2 linked regions of the Macaca fascicularis genome follow. The protein of the gene in region 1 interacts with the protein of each later gene in a pairwise test. Links are inferred from orthologs where the notes say so. Each region holds a gene or a part of one and is shown on either strand. Other genes may lie near its edges.

What was found. The genes of interacting proteins can lie anywhere in the genome.
Region 2: the proteins of EWSR1 (region 1) and MAPK1IP1L interact in binary tests that used the Homo sapiens proteins (3 or more experiments, as listed by UniProt). The link is inferred for Macaca fascicularis from reciprocal best matches to the Homo sapiens genes EWSR1 and MAPK1IP1L.

What each region holds. Positions count from the first base shown.
Region 1 is NC_088384.1:22,374,144-22,377,787, forward strand, and holds part of EWSR1 (RNA-binding protein EWS), read right to left. Parts: intron 3,102-3,644; coding exon 2,972-3,101; intron 1,188-2,971; coding exon 1,065-1,187; intron 33-1,064; coding exon 1-32. UniProt on the Homo sapiens protein: Binds to ssRNA containing the consensus sequence 5'-AGGUAA-3'. Might normally function as a transcriptional repressor. EWS-fusion-proteins (EFPS) may play a role in the tumorigenic process.
Region 2 is NC_088381.1:122,906,712-122,911,049, reverse strand, and holds the start of MAPK1IP1L (MAPK-interacting and spindle-stabilizing protein-like), read right to left. Parts: upstream 2,907-4,338; 5' UTR 2,750-2,906; intron 1-2,749.

The DNA.
Region 1 (3,644 bases):
GGGTCCCCCAGGACCTCCTGGGCCTCCTGGACCTACAACAAGAAATAGCAGATCATTTCTCTGTAGCACCAGATTTGCTATGGGAAATAAAAATCACTAAGTAAACCCACAGATATCACTGTTGTCATTTCCCCATCACCCGTCCCATATGTTTCCGAGTGGCTCAGGCATCAGCCCCTTCCCTGTGATGAGCGTGTTCCACGTGCTCTACAGGAAACAGAGCTCCAATTCTTTTTTTTTTTTTTTTTTTTAGACAGAGTCTGGCTCTGTCACCCAGGCTGGAGTACAGTGGCACGATCTCAGCTCACTGCAAGCTCCGTCTCCCAGGTTCACGCTGTTCTCCTGCCTCAGCCTCCCGAGTAGCTGGGACTACAGGTGTCCGCCATCACGCCCGGCTAATTTTTCTATTTTTAATAGAGATGGGATTTCACTGTGTCAGCCAGGATGGTCTCGATCTCCTGACCTTGTGATCCGCCTCCCAAAGTGCTGGGATTACAGGCATGAGCCACTGTGCCCGGCCTTTTTTTTTTGAGATGGAGTCTTGCTCTGTTGCCTGGGCTGGAATGCAGTGAAACAAGATCTTGGCTCACTGCAACCTCCACCTCCCAGATTCAAGCAATTCTCCTGCCTCAGTCTCCCAAGTAGCTGGGATTACAGGCATGCACCAACATGCCTGGCTAATTTTTGTATTTTTAGTAGAGTTTCACCATGTTGGCCAGGCTGGTGTCAAACTCCTGACCTCAGGCAATCCGCCCGCCTCGGCCTCCCAAAGCGGTGGAATTACAGGCATGAGCCACCACACGCGGCCAAACTCCCACAATATATAAGGAGCAGGCAAATCTATACAGACACAACCAAAGCCTAATAAATGGCAGTCTGGAGGTGAGAGGCAGTGTGGCTTCCAGCCTCCCGTGTTCTTCTCCTCTTCCTTTTACACCCACAAACGTTCAAAGTATTGACTCTACACACAATTTTGTATTTCTTCACTCTAGTAATCAAGTTTCTCAAGGGTAGGGAGTATATTGAAAACCTTTTAATGCAACATAGGAGATCAAAGAAAGTACCTCCGCGGAGTGGTGGTGGCATCCCTCTGCCCTCACGGGGTGGCATACCCCCCCTCATACTGTTCATTGGAGGCTTCTTCCGAGCAAGAGAGACTTTAAGTTTGCTCCCTTGAAAATCTTTCCCTGGAATAAGACAACAGAACATCAATTACTCCCCTATATTCCCTGTTCACCAACTAAACGACATCATCAAATGACCACTCCCAGATGCATTAGGTCTGCCCCTCCTGTAATCTTCTCTAAGATCTTTACTGACAAGGCCAGAAAAAGGCTTTTTTGAGATGGGGGTCTCACTCTGTTGCCTAGGCTGGAGTGCAGTGGCAAGGCTCACTGCAGCTTCAATCTCACAGGCTCAAGCAATCCTCCAAAGTAGCTAGGACTACAGGCACGCATCACCATGCCTGGCTAATTTTACAAAATGTTTTGTAGAGGCAGTCTCTTGCTAGGTTGCCCAGGCTGGTCATGAACTCCTTGGTTCAAGCAATCCTCCTGCCTTGGCCTCCTAAAGTGGTAGGATTATAGGCAAGAGCCATCGTGCCTGGCCAGAAAAAGGCCATACACTTAAATATACTTAAAAACCTCTCTGCAGCCTGGCCAACATGGCGAAACTCCATCTCTACTAAAAAATACAAAAGTTAGCTGGGCAGGGTGACATGCACCTGTAGAGTCCAGCAGCTACTCAAGTGGCTGACACACAAGATTCACCTGAACCTGGGAGGCGGAGGTTGCAGTAAGCTGAGACTGCTTGTGCCACTGCACTTCAGCCCGGGTGACAAAGTGAACTGGCTCAAAAAATCAAAAACACAAGCAAAAAAATACTGTCTACCAGAAGGAGGAAAATAAGCTGGTGGGAAGCTGACTGTATGGCGAAGAAAAGAGAACCAGGACTTGTTATTTGACGCTTTCTTTGAGACAGAGTCTCGCTGTTGTCCAGGCTGGAGTGCAGTGGTGCAATCTCAGTTCACTGCAGCTTCAAACTCCCCGGGCTCAAGTGATCCTCCCACCTCAGCCTCCTGAGTAGCTGGGACTATAGGTATAGGAGTGCGCTACAACACCTGGCTAATTTTTGTTTTTTTTTTTTTTTTTTTTTTTGAGACGGAGTCTCGCTGTGTCTCCCAGGCTGGAGTGCAGTGGCGTGATCTCGGCTCACTGCAAGCTCTGCCTCCCGGGTTCACGCCATTCTCCCGCCTCAGCCTCCCAAGTAGCTGAGACTACAGGCACCCGCCACCACGCCCGGCTAGGTTTTTTTTTTTGTATTTTTAGTAGAGACGGGGTTTCACCATGTTAGCCAGGATAGTCTCGATCTCCTGACCTCGTGATCCACCCGCCTCGGCCTCCCAAAGTGCTGGGATTACAGGCTTGAGCCACCGCGCCTGGCCTAATTTTTGTATTTTTTGTAGAGACAGGGTTGTGCCATGTTCCCCAGGCTGGTCTCAAGCCCCTGGATTCAAGCGATGCACCTACATTGGCCTCCCAAAGTGCTGGGATTACAGGTGTGAGCCACTGGACCTGGCCAAGTCGTTCAATGCTTTCAAGTTGGTTTTGTCTGAAGTGAAATCCCAGCATTAATGTCAAGGCCTTATTTAAATATATATATTTATCTATATGCAAATGTACACTGGCTAAGATGTTCTTTTGAAGGGTTTTCTGTACCTTCTGATAATCTGCGCTTAGAGAAGTGTTTGCCACTTTTAAACAAGGTTGATTTGTAATACTAAAGCCTGAAAATAAAGGGATCTCCAAATCCAGGGTCAATGGCTGGGTCCTAATACTACTGAAGGGAGATCAGCAATCTACTTCCCCCAGAAAGGGATGGAAGGTCTTCTTGCTCCCGTGGTTCACAAGTTCCTCCCTCCTGCCATACTCTATAGCCAGGGAGATTAAGAATGCCAGTGAGTACATCTTACCGTCAAACCATTCCACGGCAGCCTTGGCCGTAGGTGGGTCTTCATAGGACACTGTGGCATCGCCTTTGGGCTTTCCTGTTTCCTTGTCCAGGTAGATGTGGATCATGGGTTGCCCAGTTCTCTTGTTCATCTAGACATAGAACACCATAGTTAGGCATGACTAGAATATACTAATTTGGGAGAAAAAAGTTCGGCAAAATCCAGGAAGAGTACCAATTTTTCACATGTAGTAGTCATTAAATGTCACTGTTTCTCCGCTTTAAGTTTTTCAGAATTTTAAGTTATTTTCTCTTCTATCCCTGCTTTATCATAAAAACCAAAGTAGACCCAAAGTTACAAAGTGTGGAAGTGAACAGGATAGGCCCCACTCCTTCCTTAGCCATCTTCTGATGCTGGTTCGCCTGCCCTGGCATTTTCTTTTTTCTTTTTTGAGACGGAGTCTCACTCTGTCGCCCGGGCTGGAGTGCAGTGGCACAATCTCAGCTCACTGCAAGCTCCACCTCCCGGGTTTACGCCATTCTCCTGCCTCAGCCTCCTGTGTAGCTGGGACTACAGGCGCCCGCCACCTCGCCCGGCTAGTTTTTTGTATTTTTTAGTGGAGATGGGGTTTCACCGTGTTACCCAGGATGGTCTTGATCTCCTGACCTCGTGATCCGCCTGCCTCGGCCTCCCA
Region 2 (4,338 bases), on another chromosome or scaffold:
TAGATATTTATTAGGCAAAATTAAATAAAATCAAAATTTTGGGGTTGATTTGTTTAGTATGCAGGGGATGATATGTATCATACTGAAAATATAAATTAATGGCTGGGCACAGTGTCTCAAGCCTGTAATCCCGGCACTTTGGGAGGCCCAGGGGGGTGGATCACGTGAGATCAGGAGTTCAAGACCAGCCTTGCCAACATGGTGAAACCCCATCTCAACCAAAAATACAAAAAATTAGCTGGGCACGGTGGCAGACACCTGTAATCCCAGCTACTTCGGTAGGCTGAGGCAGGAGAATCGCTTGAACCCAGGAGGCGGAACTTGCAGTGAGTGACTGTCTCCAAAAATAAAAAGTTATAAATTAGAATACATGCTAGTTTTCAGCATTGGCTCATTTATCTGATTATGTTCCATTTTTTACATTTGGGCAACTCAAAAACGGGGGTTTTGAAATGCTCAAAAATCTGAAACTTTTTGAGTGCCAACATGCCGCTCAAAGAAAATGCTCATTAGAGCATTCTGGATTTCGGATGCTCAACTGGTGTAATATAAAAAAAAAAATCCAAAATCTGAAACACTTCTGGTTCCAAGCATTTGGGATAAGGGATATGCAACCTGCAATATTTCTTGGCATTTAGTTATATATTTATTGGAACATATGTGCCAAACAATGTGTTGGGCTTTAGAGAAATTTTAGTATTACATGGAGATTCCTGAGATGTGCTGTCTTTTGCAGTCCATAAGGACCATAAAGAAAGAGCTGGGAGTAGAGGGCGGTGACATGGGTCCTAGGGAAAGAAGAGCAGTTGGTGTAAAAATTGGGAGAATCTGTGAGGAGGTATAAGCAGTTCAGATGGGTTAGAATATAGCAAGGGAAGGGGAAAGTCTTAGCAGAGAGACCTTAGACGAGGGTTTGAATTATTTCAGTAAGAGTCGGCTCATCTGAATGAACCTGAACTATAAAGAACAGGCCATACTGTTTGTAAAAAGCACGCAGTTAAAAACAAAAAACAAAAAACAACCAGACCAGTAATGCTGCGATGAACTAAATTGGACTCTGTCCAATCAAGTGCCTAAAATAGTGCTTGGGTGGAAAACAGGTACCAAATTCTCTTTCCCTTGTATGTGGACATCTAGCTTATAGGTAAAAGAGTAAACGCTAAAGTATGACCATCCAGCTACAACTGCAGCTCTTCACTGGTTGGACTGGCCAGAGTTGACAAGTCCAATTCTCCAAACTCGAGGCAAAGGGAGATCAGAATCGTATGCACATCATAGATTTGCTCTAAGACTTATATAATAAACAAATCTCTTAGTCACTGCCTGGAATATAGCAAAACCTCAACAAATATTAGCTTTTACGATGCCTACTTTTAGGTCCATAAATCTTTATCTGCCCTTCTCAATCCAGAGACTTCCGAAAAAATAAACTTTCCCAAGTTTGGCACAAATCTTACATGGTGGCAAAATGTGACCTGAAGCTATTTATAGTTTCTATTCGCCCCCACTTAGAATGAATGCTCACATCTATTGCTGCAAATATTAATGTTGGATGATGCGGTGCCCCATTCTGCTGGGGGTGTTATCTCTCGTCTAACATGTCGTCTTTCTAAAAAGATGAAGATAAAATCCAAGTATTTTTGAATTCAAAACACACTAGCTTCAAAAGTTTCAGCTAAGAGACTGGGGATGGATATTACCCATTCCTCCTGGAGAGAGGAAAAGAACATTCCAATATTTGCAATTCACTCCAAGTTTCTGAAGCAAACTCGCTTTGCATTGTGGGCTCAGAGATGCCAGCATGAAAAATTTCTATTCTTCCCTCAAAGAACACCAGTGAACAAAGAACTTACAAAATGTTTCTGAAGGCTACCTTTGCCTGTAATGAGGGTTCCTTTTCAAAACAGACCTTTACAACCCCCAGGTGTGTATTTCTCTAGCAGTAAAACTAAAAAAAAATTTTTCGGTCGAGCGAGTCCGGCTTCATGCTTTAACACTGCAATCTTTACCTATTAAAAGCTGTACTCTTGCTTTTCAAGGTAAAGAGGAAAACGGTCCCCCTATATATAAGCTATCGTAGGTATGCGCTCTTCAGTCCTAAAAAGGAGATCCCTAAATTCTGCCCTTCTCGTGGTTTGCCCTGGGTATTCATCTAACGTATCCGTGGGCAATTCCTCTAGTGAGTCATAACCAGAGCGTTGTCACACTGCGGATTAACAAGCGCCCGAGATTCCTGTAATAATCTTTTCAGGCTTTTCCCTTTTTATTAGAAATTAATGAATGGGTGCAATGGGGTGGGGGTAGAGGGGAAATCGGGGCCAAAAGGCGCGAGGCCGGCAGCCTTTTAGGGACGCACGAACAAAGGGAGTCCGGGATCAACCGGAGCGAACCGGCCTCCGAGCGGGTCGCGCCCGCCGGGAAAGGGTGGGGGAGGGGCCGGCCCGCGCCCGCCCCGCCCCGCAGCCAGGCCTGACGTCAGGCGCCCAGAAACCCGTCGGGCGCGACGTCAGCGGCCTCCTACACCTTCTCCCTGGGGGGCGATCCCCAGGCAGCCCGCAGCGTGGAGGAAGGCGACCGAGAGAAACGCTTAGCCCCGGTCCCAGGCAGGCGACCACGGCCCGAGCACTGGACGTGACTCGATGCACCTCAGTTACCGCGCCCGCTTCCCGCTTGGCCGCGCCCGCGGGCTCCGCAACCCCAGCCCCCCGATTCCCCTTCACGACTCCCACTAGTACCGAAGCAGCCTCACCCGGCAATATCCGAGACCGCAGTAGGGTCTAGAAGCGGCGATGGGTCCGAGGGACTGGGCCCTGAAGAAGCGGGCGCAGCCTGACTGACGGCAGGGAAAGCAGCGGCGGCAACAGCACCAGCAGCGCGCGGCTCCTCCTGGCGCCGGAACAGGAAGCGCCGAGCGCACCGCCTCCGCCCGCTCTCCCCCTCCCCTCAGGCCGCGCCGCGTGCGCCTCCCGCAGGCCCCTGGCGGTACTGCGGCCCGCCAGACGCAGGGGGATGGGCTCCACCTGGCGCCGGCCCCGGGCCGCTTTCCCCTGATGGGCGGGCTGAAAGCTCCCAGAGTTTCCGGAGTTCCGAGGACTCAGAGGAAACGCCAGTGGTCGCCGGTGTTCACGGCATACCGGCGGAAATTGCTAACTTGTCTTGAGTTGCTTGAGGGCTGATTCTGGATTCCCTTTGCTCAGCGGTTTTTACAGCTAGGCCTCGAAGGAGGCTGGGTATGGACGCGGTCTGATTTCTGCCTGACCGAACGATTCAGATCCTCGGGCCAAAAGTGGGGAGAGGGAAAAGATTAATACAGGAAAGAGAAAACCTTTGCAAATAGCTTAACAAATTGATATTTGCTGTCTTTGCTGAGTTTTCCTCATCAATGCCTCTTCTCCTATGTTCTTTTTTGTGGTTTTTGAGACGAGGCATCTGTCACCCAGACTGGAATGCAGTGGCGCGATCTCGGCTCACTGCAACCTCTGCCTGGTGGTCTCAAGCTATCCTCCCATCTTAGCCTCCTAGTAGCTGGGACTACAGGCGTGTGTCACCACACCCGCTGATTTTTGTGTTTTTAGTAGAGATGGGGTCTCACCTTGCTAGTCTCAAGCGATCCGCCCTCTTCGGCCTCCCAAAGTGCTGGTATTACAGGCGTGAGCCACCGCGCCCAGCCGCGATCTTCATTTCTGAATAAACATTACCTCCTGTGTCAGGCACAGATGACATGACCCCAGTCAAGGAACCTACTAACTAGCAATAAAGATGTCGTGACAATTATATGGTGTGCAAAATAGACACATATATGCAATATATGTATTTTTTTAGACGGAGTCTCGCTCTGTTGCCAGGCTGGAGTGCAGTGGCGCGGCGCTATCTCAGCTCACTGCAACCTCCGCTTCCCGGGTTCAAACGATTCTCCTGCCTCAGCCTCCCAAGTAGCTGGGACTACAGGCGCGCTCTACGTTGCCCAGCTAATTTAGAGACGAGGTTTCACCATGTTGGCCAGGATGGTCTCGATCTCTTGACCTTGTGATCCGCCTGCCTCGGCCTCCCAAAGTGCTGGGATTACAGACGTGAGCCACTGCGCCCGGCCAATATACATTTTTTTAACATATAAAAATATCCTAAAAGCATGTGGTGCACTTGCATCTTGCTTTGTGTAAGGCATTAGTGAGTCAGGGGGTGGCCATTTAAAACTGTGAACTTATTTAAAGGAAGACATCCCTGGATGTATTCCACAGCAAACACAATTCTCACACTGAAAAAGGGGCAACAGAGGAACTTAAAATATCTAAGCCCAGAGTCTTATTTTTGGATAAGGGCACACAGGCCTATGGAAAA